Styela clava: one gene and its partner. The protein of the gene in region 1 binds, or shares a complex with, the protein of each later gene. Links are inferred from orthologs where the notes say so. Each region holds a gene or a part of one and is shown in the gene's direction. Other genes may lie near its edges. The genes, in order: armadillo repeat-containing protein 8-like and glucose-induced degradation protein 4 homolog.

Evidence for each region.
Region 2: the proteins of armadillo repeat-containing protein 8-like (region 1) and glucose-induced degradation protein 4 homolog are in contact, whole or in part, in a cryo-EM structure (PDB 7NSC), measured with the Homo sapiens proteins. The link is inferred for Styela clava from reciprocal best matches to the Homo sapiens genes ARMC8 and GID4. Residues at the interface, in NP_001350870.1 of Homo sapiens: Glu309, Pro310, Asp311, Val312, Asn371, Glu373, Arg406, His409, Arg413, Ser414, Val415, Gln416, Arg419, Thr420, Gln423, Asp424, Val444, Ser448, Cys451, Asn452, Leu455, Phe457, Ala483, Val486, Asn487, Trp490, Met493, Asn494, Phe497, Gln498; in NP_076957.3 of Homo sapiens: Leu104, Ile105, Pro106, Pro107, Pro108, Pro109, Ile110, Gln114, Pro115, Gly116, Val117, Ala118, Thr119, Gly125, Gln146, His147, Tyr154, Cys156, Tyr158, Phe174, Glu176, Phe239, Val241, Pro242, His244, His292, Ser293, Ala294, Pro295, Ile296.

What each region holds. Positions count from the first base shown.
Region 1 is NC_135258.1:9,308,124-9,315,964, forward strand, and holds armadillo repeat-containing protein 8-like, read left to right. Parts: upstream 1-4,649; coding exon 4,650-6,749; 3' UTR 6,750-7,221; downstream 7,222-7,841. Other genes in the region: serine/threonine-protein phosphatase PP1-gamma catalytic subunit B, read left to right, coding at 1-446; protein archease-like, read left to right, coding at 2,813-3,280. UniProt on the Homo sapiens protein: Component of the CTLH E3 ubiquitin-protein ligase complex that selectively accepts ubiquitin from UBE2H and mediates ubiquitination and subsequent proteasomal degradation of the transcription factor HBP1.
Region 2 is NC_135253.1:16,878,666-16,886,002, reverse strand, and holds glucose-induced degradation protein 4 homolog, read left to right. Parts: upstream 1-4,492; 5' UTR 4,493-4,501; coding exon 4,502-4,651; intron 4,652-5,020; coding exon 5,021-5,188; intron 5,189-5,551; coding exon 5,552-5,653; intron 5,654-6,025; coding exon 6,026-6,156; intron 6,157-6,464; coding exon 6,465-6,528; 3' UTR 6,529-6,818; downstream 6,819-7,337. Other genes in the region: putative D-lactate dehydrogenase, mitochondrial, read right to left, coding at 166-271, 351-443, 713-814, 1,077-1,183, 1,353-1,494, 1,948-2,087, 2,414-2,458; protein SGT1 homolog, read left to right, coding at 3,157-3,810.

The sequences.
Region 1 (7,841 bases):
AAATTCGTCGCATTATGAGACCGACAGACGTGCCAGATCAAGGTTTACTCTGTGATCTGCTATGGTCCGACCCTGACAAAGAAGTTGCTGGATGGGGGGAAAATGACAGGGGTGTTTCATTCACTTTTGGTGCGGAGGTTGTCGCGAAGTTTCTTCACAAACAGGATCTTGATTTGATTTGTCGAGCTCATCAAGTTGTGGAAGATGGTTACGAGTTCTTTGCAAAAAGGCAACTTGTCACATTATTCAGTGCTCCCAACTACTGTGGAGAATTTGATAATGCAGGTGCAATGATGAGTGTCGACGAAACTTTGATGTGTTCGTTCCAAATCCTCAAACCAGCTGATAAGAAAAAGTTCCCTTATGGAGGCATCAATTCAGGACGACCTGTAACACCACCGAGAGCTTCAGCAGGAAAAGGAAAAGGAGGAAAAGCAGGAAAATAATGTGCTACCTAAACCAAATTTTTTTTTTGTATAATATTATCGATTTCTCCGTTTTTAGTAATGCACAGACTATGTTACCATCATCGAGCTGATTTGGACTTCTGTTACCACTGTCGGCCACAAATGATCAACGGGACTCAATTGGATATAAGACAGTGACTCGTTGGTCAAATAAACTGACAGCTCTGTCTTTGTGTTAACTGTTCATCAAGCAGATACACAAAGTTCACTTCTAAAGCTATTCGAATTGGCACACTCATCTGTACAGAATTGCTGTTCAAGGTGTCAATAATGAGTGGTTTACTTTGTTTCATTTTTTGTACTAGTTTGTTTCAGATCACTTTTTTGTTCCCTTCTTCCTAGCAGCTTAGTCTTTGCACTGTCTGGCATTGAGTTAATTGATAAGTCCAAATTACAATCTTCCATACATTTGGTAGCAATTGTACACGTTTGTAAAATGGAATGCCAATACTATTCAAAAACAGAACTTGTAGACCAATTATGCATATGCTCGTGAGACCTAACCATTCGGCAAATTTTACGAATAAAAAGGTTTCAAACTATATCAAGATGAAAATATCTTCATGATTCTGACGTAGATCTCAGAAATGATTTTTTAACTCGATTTCATCATAATGTATTCAACGTCAGTTACTAAAATATTTATAGGAATATATTAAAATCTGTATCCATTTTCCTTTTGATCCTCTTTGCCCTTTTTAAGCAAATGCAGCCATTATGGTTTTATTTTATGTTCATATCCCTGGCATCTAATTTTTAGGCAGTTCAGTTGAATTCTATTTGAATTTTCAAGTATCGTAATTACATAATTATCTTTCGAAATTGAATATCCATCAATATTACTTACTAAAAAGTGGTAAATTTATCTGTTGATCAATTTTCACTTATTTCAGCATCTACAAACTATAGTTGTCATCATTTCTGTTATTTGTTGACTCGTTTTTGAAATATTGTCGAAATGTACAGCCCTTTAGTCTAGTAAAAAAATGGTATTTCATGACACATTGACTCAATATTGTCATTACTGTTTCCACCTTTCATAACATGGCAAATTTTTTAAATCAAAGTTGATTTTCCCTCTTAATTGGCGTGTTTTGATCTTTCTGGTAGACCCGAAGACTTTATACATAATTCATGGAACCTACAGCAGACATGATCGTATTTTATGCAATTTGTTTCTGGGATTGTATCAAAATTAACGATTCCGAGAATTGTAAAATTGAATGTTCAAACAGATTATCAAGTTAACATGTTTTTATCAAGTTGTTGGAGTTAATCTATTGAATGAATTATTCTATATTGATGCATGGAAAGAGGTAACGAGATAGGATGTGTATTATATGTGATATATTTTATAGCACATTTCTTTATGTGACATGTGTTTAATTGACTGTTAATTGCTCCTATCATCGCTTCATCATCATTCATATACTGTCTTTTATGGGGATCTAGTTATGTGCTGTTGATCCATGCCGCTGGCCAGAAATTGACTACAGTTTGGCATATGTAATTATACTAACACATAAATTATCTATCAAAGTTTTTCAGTGATTTGATTAGTGATGTTCCAAAAAGTTTTTATTTGAATGATTTGGCGCTGAAATTAATATACTATTCATTACAGTAAAAAATGATTATTTATCGATGAATTAAAGTCATTAGTGGTTATTTTCTGGCTGGTGCACACTTGATTCAACTGCGTCATCGTACGTAGTTTATAGCGAGCTTGGTTTGATCTTCTTACGCATTGTTAAAGTGCTTTTATTTAATTTGGCCAGTCATTGTTGTTGCATTTTAATTTCTCTCACAAGTTAAAAGATTCAAAACTTTACATATCCCGTTGGGAAATCAGGTATCAAATCATATCCATTAAAGCATGAAAATTTTTGGATAATAATATGAAAAAAAATGAAATTAAAACTTTTGAAAAATAAAATATTTTTGGGGCGCTCCCAGTGAAATTTTATATTTAAAATGATATATCTAAAATTAAAATGAATTTTTGCACATCAACATCCTTTTAATACAATACTCATTCTGTAATTGATATTGTAATCTAGTAAATGATACATGCTTTGTTGAATATGATTTGATATCTAATTTCTTTATAGGATAGCAGTACCCATGATTTGTCTTGTTCATTAAACTTCATTGTATTTGTGTATTATTTAGATTTTATCTATGTTAATAAGGTCGTAATAGCAGCAATAATGGAGTAATGATGGATTAGTTGGAAAAAGGAAAAATACTTACGAACAATGGAGATTTAATGAATCTCAATCTGCGGAAATATAAAAGTAGCGAGTCTGATTGCAAAAACGAATATTGAGGAATACGAAGCTAAGATGGCTGGTGGGGGAGACTTATCAAGATTTGAGAAGGTGACGAGAAAATTTGAGTACCTTGATCACACTGCAGATGTACAAATTCACTCATGGGGAGAGGATTTGTCAGAGGCTTTTGAACAAGCTGCGATGGGAATGTTCAACTACATGACGGACATCGATGGTGTTTGTCCAGAATCACACAGAGAAATAGAAGTCGAAGGAGAGGATTTAGAATCACTTTTGTACAAGTTTTTAGACGAATTCTTATTTATGATGTCTTGTGTACCGTATTATATTCCCAGGGAAGTAAAAATAACGGAGTTTGACGAGAAAGAATTTAAAATAAAAGCTGTCGGATATGGAGAGGAATTCGACGAAAAAAGACATGGCGGACAAGGTACTGAAATCAAAGCAATTACATACAGTGCAATGGAGATCTTAACAACACCCGGCTCTGCTCAAACCTTTGTTATTGTTGATATATAGTTTTTTGAAAGAAGAATTGTTTAGCTGTTATACTTGATTTATGAGATATATTAGCAATTCTCAACCTTTTTTTAGAACTGCGGAACCCCTTTTATAACTTTTGAAACCATACTGGGGATTGGAATATCATTACTCTTCCTTTACTTTTATGTGAATCACTCTTCAAAATTAGTTAAATTTGTCCGTTTTCAAAACATAAAATAATTCTATACAAATGTTTGTTTGGTCAGTCTACCTCATTCACAATTTTTTTTCGTTTGTTAAAAAATTGAAAATCACAAAAAATTATGATTTTAATAATACACAATTTGATACATAATTTTGTGCATGCGTGATCATTCGCTTTCTCCTTTCTTACTATTGAGCTGACTAGGTGGTGGCAATACCTACAAAAAATCAATGAAAAATTGGGTACCACTGTATTTAACTATCCTTCTCCCATGTATTACTTTAATTGTTTGGATCAATACATTCAAGGTTGAGCGCTCAATTACCATATGCCCTTTCATTCCCCGGAGATACCAATCAGACAATCTTGACTAAATAGGTTCTAATGAGTAGTGTATCAGTTCAATATCTTTGGCCTATAATACTTTTTCCTCGTGCAAAAGTTACAAGGAAAAATAGAATCCCATAATTGGTTATGGATTCTTCTTGTTAAAAAAAACAAATTCTATACTATGCAAATTAGTGATCAATACGAACATGATTTGAAACTGTAACCTTCAGCTAAATTCCAAAATTAGAATTGTACTTGAATATCTGCCAGCTATGACGTCCATGGTCATATCAAGTTGCATCAATAGTACGTGTGTCTATTATAAACACAAGAACTGACATAACTCTCTTGTGTAAGTTCATGGTACCTGGCAATAGCATGGAAATATTTTTAGTACTGTTGACGTCAAGCTCTTGAATGTAATTATCAACATACATTGTGTCATAGCCTGGAATATAATTTATTAGTTCATTTTTATTTATGAATAAATTTTTTATGACATGACTATGTGGTATAAGATTTGGGTAAATTTGTACATATTTCCAACTTTAATTGTATTGCAATAGTGTCAACAATGGTCCAAGAAGATCTACGTTTATTGTGTTGAAGCGTCTGCCCCGAACCTTGATGTACTTTTAAAACTATTGTCTGTTATTTTGACCCTTTTTAAAATTACTTCTATCAAGTTTTAAGATATTGATGAAGTTTTTTTTTATACGACTTAGTGCACATCTTTATTCATGCCTTTTATTCTCTCATTGTATTTGATGTTCATAGATTGTATGAAATGTGAACTAATTTTTTGTGATTTTTATTTCAATGGCGACAGGCGAAGGAAGCAGTTGTTAGATAAGTTGATTATTTTGAAAAATGAGCATGGAAGTTGACCAACATGACATGAGCGAGGTTTTCCCGGTTGCGGTTCAAGGTGTGCTCTCCGAGATAACAACAATGTATCAGCCCTACGTTGGAAAAATATTTGATACTGATGAGAGTATAGTATTTGAAGGCATAAAAGAAATCAAAAACTTAGTTATTGGAAACAAAAAGCAAAAAACGAATTTTATTGTACTAGGAGTCGTTCCCAGATTGGTCTTCTTAATTGAGGACAGTAACACTTCGATGGAATTGAAAATACAATCTGCAATTGTACTTGGCAGTCTTGCAAAAGGAGTTGATGCAAATTTAAAGCATTTATTAGATCACCGTGTTTTGGAAACTCTATGTAGCCATCTTACTACAAACGATTTGCAATTGTACGAAGCCACTGTTAGATGTTTACGGACTATCATAACTTCTACTGAAAGAACTACTGAATTGTTATACATCAACCCTTCTGAAATAATTCCAAAATTGTTAGAAAATATCAATCGTTCCAGTTGTACACAAGAATGTACATGCGAGATTATTGCTCATTCTTGTATTGCACAAAACCATAAAGATCTTTTGATCAAACTTGATATTATAAATTTACTTGGTGATTTATTGGTTTCACCCATTCGAAGGGTTAAGGTGAAGGCCTTGGATACGCTAGCTGCTCTATGTTACAAAAACAAAGAAGCCTGTAAGCAATGTGCCATGTCAAAAATAAAGGACAAACCTCTTATGGAAATTGTGATAAGACTACTTAATGAAAGTCAACCTGCGGATATTCAAATGCGTGCTGCAAAATGTCTGACTTTCATGTTTCGAATGCGGGTTTTAACTGCAGATTCATGGGATCATGTTATTGTCAGAAAAGTGCTGACACGTTTGGTTAGAATGTGTGATATGGAATCGGACCCTGATCAGCGCATTTGCAGTGCCGAAACTCTTGCGTATTTGATCGAAGTTGATCCACCTTTGCAAAGACTTGCTTATATCTGTGAACAGTTTCCTCACAAATTAGAAGCTTATTTTAAATATCCTTCAGTAAGCTTAACAAAGAACGAACACAATATAAAATTCTTCAAGCACGCTTTAAAACATGGAAAACAGTTACACAGAGCAGGATTTTTAGCGTACGCCTCACTTCTTTCAAATGACGAAGATATCCGAAAACAAGTTGCCACAGAGCTGCTGGTAAAACACATTTCAGAATCTCTAATCGATCCTTGTGCATTAGTTCGCTCGGCTGCATTAAAATGCCTTTTAAGTTTATCTCGCTCCGTACATCTACTTCGTACAACTTTTCAGGACGTAGGTATTTGGAAATCATTATTAAAATTGATGCAGGACTTTGCACAAGATATTAATGAAACAAAGATCATCAGCAGTGTATTGTGCAACCTAATGCTTGACATTTCACCCTGCAAAATGGACTTGAAAGCAGCTGGATTGATAAAAACCATAACTGAATGGTTAAATGTGGAGGATTTAAGACTGAACGCTATTTGGATCTTTATGAATATGTCGTTCCATGCTGAATTAGCATTAAAATTAGAGATACTTGAAGCGATCAGCTTTGAACAGATATTGCAATTGTTACAAGACAGTGATCGTGATGTTATTATACGTACTTTGGGACTCCTGCGTAACATACTCAGCTCGGATCAAGATAAAATAATGCCATTATATGGCGTAAATATCATACAAGCTTGTAAACACGTTTTAACTGCATTCTCTGATGCTGGAACTGGCCATCCTGGCTTACATTCAGAGTACGAGTGCATACGTGCCCATATAGTGTGCATACTCGCAGGTGTGGCGGGTGGGGATGGAGGGTCAACAGTAAAGACCTTTCTCGAGAATGAAACGGAACTTTTGCAGCAAGTTGTTAGCTATTTGATGCATTTTGACCTTAATCTGCAAATGGCTTCAGTATCATTTATATACAATTTTGTTAGAATGAATACAGGCTGTGTGGAACGTCAGGCCGTAATGATAGAGTTGGGAGCAGTGAACAGCTTACAACATCTACAAACCACTAACGATACTGTTCTTTATGATAAAGTGGATAAAGTACTTCAGCAGTTTCAGAATACAAAATAATTTTTGGTAACAAATGTACTGTTTCTTTTATTATAAATCAACTGATTGACCAGAGTCTTGACAATCAGCTATTGATATATAGAAGGCTTATAAGTTTTTGAAGTACCGGTAACTTAACTGCAATCTTTTTGAAAACAGCCTATGACATGGTTTGAGTTCAACAGACTAGTCCCTTGACGGCTGGTCATTGACGTTTGAACAAAAAATTTTTATGCACGAATGAAAGTTTCAAACCTTTTTGATATATTTTTTCTTACTTTGGAATTGTTGTTCTTTCATTATAACAAAATAGAAATGGCACACAAGTTTCTGGTATTCAAGTTCATGACAGTACAGTTTGTTACTTAGTACACAAAACTAGTTCTTGACAAGGCAAATAGCTTCGATAAAATGAAGTATACCATTATTTATATATACCAAATTATCGATATCTATTTCCCTATAATCATACCTAGATGGAAAATTTAAGTATATTTATCTTTTATTATAATATTAAATCTCTAAAAGTACTAAAGCAGTGGTGTCGCTTATGTCATTCCATTGACTAGGTATAAGGTTTATTCAATGGAAGAAGTTTTTCATTGATAATCATCCTTGCTTCGGTTATTTATTATCTGGTGGTAAACTCAGCACATACATGGTAAGTCCTTGTGGTATTCACAGAGTGAGTTTTATTTCTAGAATGCGTAATACTTTTCGCTTGGTAATTCCCTCCAATTATAATGTGCTGTATTCACAGGGCTGATGCAATCATCTGTTATTAAGGTGAACTAACAAAGGATATACTCTAATACCAGGAAGTTTAGTCAAATAAGATTGCAAGAATGATTATTGATTTGCGGTGAGACAGGTTCATACAGATTCCAATAACATGTCTAAGTAGATTTGTGTGACATTATTGATTTTTTGTGGTTTGCTTTCCCAGATTAAACTGTGAGCAAGGCAAGAAAATTTTTTTGTGTAGGTTGTGTGCATTCTATATTTTCAACTCTGCATGTAAAGCAAGGAGATTATGACTGTATTAGAGTGATGATACGCTCAATATAACCCTAAAATACATTTCCTTTGTCTGAAATATCCGAATTTGGCATA
Region 2 (7,337 bases), on another chromosome or scaffold:
TATTTTATTGTTTGTATATTTGATCCATGATCGAACAATGCTGTGCAAATAAATTGCTTTTGAAAATATCTGTGGCAACTTTTCAAGCGTTCATTGTAAACTATATAGTTTTCTATATAACCAGTAAACAATGGGGGCTAAACCAATCATAAAGGTAATTCTCACAGAATCAGGTACAGGATGTAATCTCAGTGTTGCTGAAGTTATAAAACCCAGTGTTCCCTCTGATCCAACAAAAAGATTTGTCAGATTGTATCCAGCTGCACTTTTTCTGAAAATGTATATGTGGTGCATACCAATCTTCATTTTAATTTTTTAAAAAATCACTGAATTCAAGACAAAACAATTACTTGAATCTTCTTCTCTCACCAGCAGTATGAATAATTTTCCCATCAGGTAAAACAACTTGTAAATTTAGTATATTTTCTTTCATTGTTCCATATCTGAAGTATGAAAGTGGTGTATTATTTGTCGATTAATATCTTTTCATGGGTACCTGAACACATTCCCTCTACTAGGCAGTAGGCACTATTATGGAAAAGTTTCTATTTTCAAAAGACCAGATCTTTCTAATTCTGCCTAGGCTACCTAATTTATTGCACCGTGGCCAGTGAGACTGCGATACCAATATAGTTATGCCTAATGGGGACATCTTGTCCATCTTAAGGCTATTTATCCTATTATGTTATATTCATTTCATATATTAACATACCTCACAGCATTAGTGCCTGATGCACTGGTTGCAGCCATCCCACATAGAGAAGCATCTGCCCCTGGATCCACTGGAAACCACATTCCACTGTCTCGAAGACGCCTGAAAATAAAATAAAACGACATAAATAGCACCTTAACATTACCTATTGAAAATTCAATAAAGAAAAAGCATTTTAAAGCTTTTTGGGTTCCAACCCAATGCCCTCTATCTAACGGTATATTTAAATTGTTAGGTGGGGAATATGATGAACTGGAAAAATTTCAGTCTTTCCAAATAGTCCCTAAATATACCTGCTTGTCTATGGCCTTGTTTAGAGTGAAGATGTGATAAAAACCTTGTGATAAAAATCTAAGAAACATACTGATTGAGGCCCAGGCGTGTCACACCAGGTTGGACTGTCACATCAAAATCCTCAATGTTGACATCAATTATTTCATCCATTTTCATCAAGTTGACACAAACGCCACCCTAAAAAAGTATGAGGCCATCATTTTTTACACATAAAAAATATTTGAAGCGCAGGCCATTTCTAACAAGTAATGAATATTTAGTTTATTAACAAAAAATAAATCCAGAAAAATTACTGCTGCTTAATTCATAAATCTGATATTAAAATTTTAATCACAATTCATCTCACAGAAGTTGGTGCCACTCCACCCTCAAGTCCAGTTCCAGTACCATATGGAATCATTGGTATTCGTTCAGCAGTGCAAAATCTTGCGAGATCGCTGACTTGGTTGGCATTTGCAGGCCATACAACAATATCAGGCAGTTTTCTCCTATTAAAATGAATACAATGAGATATGTTGAAAAGCGAGAAAAAACGAGCAAGAAAAAACATAGTGAGAAAAAAATTATTTTCAATATTAAGAACAAGTATTCAATAAAATAATATAAACAAACTTATCTCGACAAGAAAAAAACTTCCTTACACATTTTGTTAAAATCAAGCACAACAATCAAGGGGTTTTGTCCACTAATCTCGAAAAAATGTTCTGAAAAATAAAAGGATCCAAGACCCAAGCGGGCAAATAATCTAGAACTATTATGCAATTTGATCAAGTTACTTTTCAAGCGAATGATTGAGAAATTCTTACATACACCATAGAGAGTCATGTTATATTTTCCCATATTGTGTTTACTTTTTTTTTTTTGGGGGGGGGAGATTTATTCTTTTTTCAGTTACCAATTGGAGTATTTCGATCACAGAAATAGTCAATAAATAATTTCACCTGTGATACGATTCATCATGGGAATGTTGTTCCAAAGTAGATGGAGCTTTACTTATATTTTTGGATCCAACAATTTTTTCAAAAGCTTCAAACATTTGTTTTGAAGGCTGCGCTATGCTTGAGAATGATTTTGAAACACCCTAAAAATAAAATTGTTGCTGTTAACAATTTTACAAATACTGTGAAAGAGTAATCAAATGTTGGTAGGTTGAGAGGAAAAGATTTTCATATTTATCCCAGGGGATAAAAAAGACAATGAGACATCTTGATTATATGGAAGTATGGTGATGGTGTAATCAGTCTTTTTTGTCATGGTATTTAGGCGTTATTTTCAAGTAAGATCTTGGGACATTCAAACCTTGTAAAACAACTGAATTAGTAGTAATAAATTCTATATTGGTGTATAATGAAGATACTTCTGAAAAAAGTGCAAGATTTTATTGATAACATTGTGTAAGCTACTCACCACTGTTGCTGCCATGTAAGTTTTTAACGAAATCTTTTGCCACATTTTTAGTTCTGTAGTTACAGGTATTTCTTCCGTCTTCAATCAAAATATTCTGAAATTTCAGTTAATTGGCATGCATTACTAGTAACCTGTACAAGTGAGAAAATAAAATACCGATACTGCTTGGTAAAAAGCGATAAGTATAGACAATTTATTTTACAATGCTGTAATGCAAGAAGCATAAATAATTACATATCGGTAATTAGATTATGGAATTCATTGCAATTAACACTCAGGCCACTGACGACCAAAACAATACTATACTGCGGCATATCGGTACAGATAAGTAAAAATAGGAGAATTATAAGGAAACTTTGCAGAGTGCAAATCATAAAAACCAAAACAAACGGGAACACACCTCCACCACTCCCCCCGAAACAGGAACCTAAAATATATGTTTGTGCTTTTCAACAGCCTTTGTCTACGGTCAAGGAAAATAAAATACATAACTTTTTAATTATCAATGACTCATGCTTACAAGAAAATACAAGTCAATATGCCTCACCACTTTCAGATATGTCTCAGTATAATTTCAAGCTATCTCGGGATTTATACACTGAATGGCGACAAAGGTGCACGAAGAACGGTTTGCCCGTTGAGGAATATTCCAGTAATCTTACTCCGTGCGTTGAGAGCGGTCGTCTTGTCAAAGGGGTTTATGGTTGTATTTTGCGAAATTTTGGTGCATTAGGAGCAATACTATGGAGTTAAACGGAGAATCTTCCACAAACACGTCAACACTTACTCCGAAATATGATTGGTACCAGACCGACACTTACGTTGTAGTAACAATTATGGTAAAAAGAGTCAAACAAGAAGAATTCTCAACAAAATATGGTGAACAATCGCTGTCAGTCAAAATTCAACGTGACACTGGGGAAAGCTTTGTTTTAAATCTGTCACTATCGCACAAAATATTACCAGATAAATGTACATCGCGCATAATGTCCACGAAAATTGAATGCAAATTAATGAAAGCAGAAGGAATAAGGTGGAGCTTGCTGCATGGTGAAGATAACTCACCTACTGCACCTATGCCAGCACCAGCTGCATCAACAAATATAGACGACGCAAATAAATATCCATCTTCAGCCCATTATACAAGAGATTGGGATAAACTTGTTGCTGATATCAAAACCGAGGAAGAAAATGAAAAACCAGAAGGAGATGAAGCCTTGAACAATTTCTTCAAAAAAATATATTCTGATGGCGATGAGAACTTGAGAAAAGCAATGAATAAATCCTTTTCAGAATCTGGGGGAACTGTGCTCAGCACGAATTGGGGTGATATAAGGAAGGAAAAAACTGATGTCAAGGCACCAGATGGAATGGAATTTAAAAAATATGAAATGTAAATAAGTCCTGAGTAGAACTTCTCGGAACTACAAACAAAAATGTTTGGTCATTCAGTAGTTTTTGTCATTTTGCTGTACTGTATATCAATTTTTATAGTGTTGTTGAAATCAGGTAATTTATGAATCCTGATTAAAAATGCTGAAGATTTACAACAAAAGAATTTAACAACTTGGAAAATTGTCTAGTCTAAACTTATTTTATGTTTTACATCTCATCACATATACATTTGATTCAAAACGTTCCGATAAAAAGATCTGATCCATTTTATCAACACCAGTTAATTTTAGTATTTTCAATCAGATGTGCTTTAAACTTTTTCTGTTTTTCTCTTTAATGACTACTTCAAGCAATTTTGTAGCTTTCGGTTGTTTGAAATTATGCAAAAGCTGAAGATCTGATTTTGTTGATTACTCGCTTATATGTATTAAGTTTCGTGAAATTTGCATCTTCATTTCTAACAGATATTAAAATAATTATTTATTGGTTAAAAATCTCATTCACCATTTCATGTGTCACATTGTCAAATACCTTTCTTCCAAAGTTAAGAGGTTCAGAATATATAATCGATTAAGATATTGTATTGTATAAAAGAATCTTTGATTAAAATAAGTTTCTTTTATGCCAACTTTGTTGTGGTAGTTTAATTTTTTTGTTATTTTTAGATATCCCATATATTGGTAGATTTATAAAATGAGTGCTTTGGTGGACACATTAGATCCTCCTCCACCATGCAATACAATACAACCTGTTATACATAGAACTTTGCTTTATAATGGTTCAAAATTCCGTGGACATCAAAAGAGTAAAGGAAGTTGCTATGATGTTGAAGTTACTTTGCAGGTGGATACTTTTTGATGTAATAAGTTGTTTTTGAATAGCCTATTCTTCGTCTGTTCTTCGATCTTTTTACATACCTTCATTAAAGTATACTAATGAACATAATGATTTACATGTTTCTAGCATCTGGGCAACTTTTTTCTTTAAACTCAAAATATTTTCGGTTGATAACTGAATTAATTGCAATTCTTTTACAATGCAGTTGATATAAAATCAAACGCTTAGTTCTATACCTATTGCATCAAGTTACATTTACTTTTGCATCCCTACTGCAGTCCAATTGCGAATACAGTATACATGTCTCTTATTGTCACAATTGTCTACAGCTGTCATCACAAGCTTTAAACTTTGCTCTTTGTTTATATATTATAGCAAGTTGATTTGGATACTTCCTATCTCTGCGGCTATTTAAAAATAGATGGACTAACGGAGGATTTCCCAACTATGACAACATTTTTTGATGGTGAAATAATCAGTGAACGATATCCTTTCTTGACAAGAAAATGGGAAGCTGATGAGGAAGTAGACAAAAAACATTGGGTTTGTTCTTATGACATTTTATAGTTATTTGAAATGTATCGATATATGGACGATTTTCTATAACTTCTTATATTCTTCTTCTTCTTTTCTATAACTATAAGTTCTATAACTATAATGTGAATCATAAAAAAAAATTTGAATTATTCTTTTGTAGAAGATATTGATTTTTTTTCTTATTTTCACAAGTTTTCACGGTACTAAATTATGACTGATAAAATTGTAGAAAGCACACTGTTTATTGTACATGTTTATTGTACAATAACACATGTACTGTTTATTGTATTGTAGAGTACATACAAAATATTCTGTTCCCAAGCAATATCTCCGGCAGATAGTTATTTCATCTTTTGTATTTTCAAACAGGGAAAATTTACAGCATTCAATCAGTTCGAGAAGAGTTTCAACACAGATGGTTTTGATTATAAAGAACTTTGTGATAGTGATTATATTTTCATGAGATGGAAGGTAATTAGTATACCTATTTATGTCTGAATAGATTCAATATTCATAATTTTACATTTCTGAACAGTGTGCATTATACCTCCCGTAGTTTTGAAGTGTGTGGGAAATTAATCTATGAAATTCTTCGTTAGAATATTTATAACAAAAAAAATTTTCTTCTTTCATCATTAATTTTTGTTGGTAACCATTTCTGAGATTTATATCTACAGAAGTGATTATATAATGGGAACAATGCTACTTTTTTGAAGCTAGAATTGCCTTGTTCTTACAACTCATTGTGACAATTCGGTTTAGAACATCTAGTGTTGAGCGTCTCCACTCAAGTAGACCATATGCTATGCATGATTTTTATTTTTGCTACCAATTTATTTTCAGGAGCATTTTTTGGTTCCTGATCATAAAATTCAGGACATAAATGGTGCATCATTTGCTGGATTTTATTATATTTGTTTTCAAAAGTCTACTGCTTCTATTGAAGGATATTACTATCACAGAACATCAGAAATGTAAGTTGTAATGTAATTTACAAAAATACTGTAGTTTTCAACAACTAATATCATATGCACCATAGAGTAAAAAAAATTATAGCTTTTTTATAACTGTTGTAAGTATATGTGACAATTTTTTATGCAGTGATTACCGCAAATTGAACATATAAATGGTTTCTGGAAATTGAACGACTTCAGTGAGATAATTCTGACCTATCTGAATCAAGTTTACCATTTTTTTTTATCTATCATTCATGATTCATCTGTGCCTTGTTCGATTGTGAAATTCAAATCAGTAATGAATTATATTATCTTGTTGATATCAGGTATCAGTCTCTCAACTTGAAGCATGTTCCTGAATTATGTACAGCCATATACTTGATGAGATGATGAACGATTGTTTTTTAACATACCCTGGTCTGGAATTGGGAATGTTTGTGGTTTTGCGCCACAGACCGGTCGTTTGCTTGAATGGATTGGTTTCGAGTCTCACAAGCGGGATAGTATAGCAATCATACATGTGCTGGAGTTTTTTGGTATTCACCATAAATAATCCATCAACAAAATATGCACTCTTCTCAGGCGATGTTTCGAGACAACAAATTGTGTCGTTACTGCTGATTAATTCTCACTTGTCTATGTACTAATGATAAGTTATAAAATTGAAGAGGACATTGCAATTCTGATGATTTCCTAACATCAGTTTTCAAGCTAGAAACATAACCGAATCTGTAAACAAGTTCATGCTGGGAGGTACTATGCAGATTTATTTTGACCTTTTCTTACCATTTAAAATTTTTCAGAGATACTATTGGGGCAAGACTTAGGTGGCGAGCAAATCGAGCAAAACCAAACGCATGCTTCAGCCAGTGCTGGGCTAACCTTACCCATAATCACACTAGCTATGCAACTTCTTCAGAAAATCAGATCGAAAAATCGGCTTGTTGATCAGAAAATACGCACATGGTAGATACGATGGCACTGGAAGACTGTTATGAGAGATTTACTTTTGCATTCTCGTGTTTAGACGTAGGCTGCAGGCTGTTCCTGCGATTTGTTTTCGGATGCATAGACGTTATGAGGGAGCCGTAACCGACCAGCGGTCGCGTGAACCTGCCACAGCTGGGAGTCTTAACATTCCTCTCTTGCATGAGTAGCCCCTGAGAGGGTCAGAACCCAGGGTAATCGGAGGTGCGATG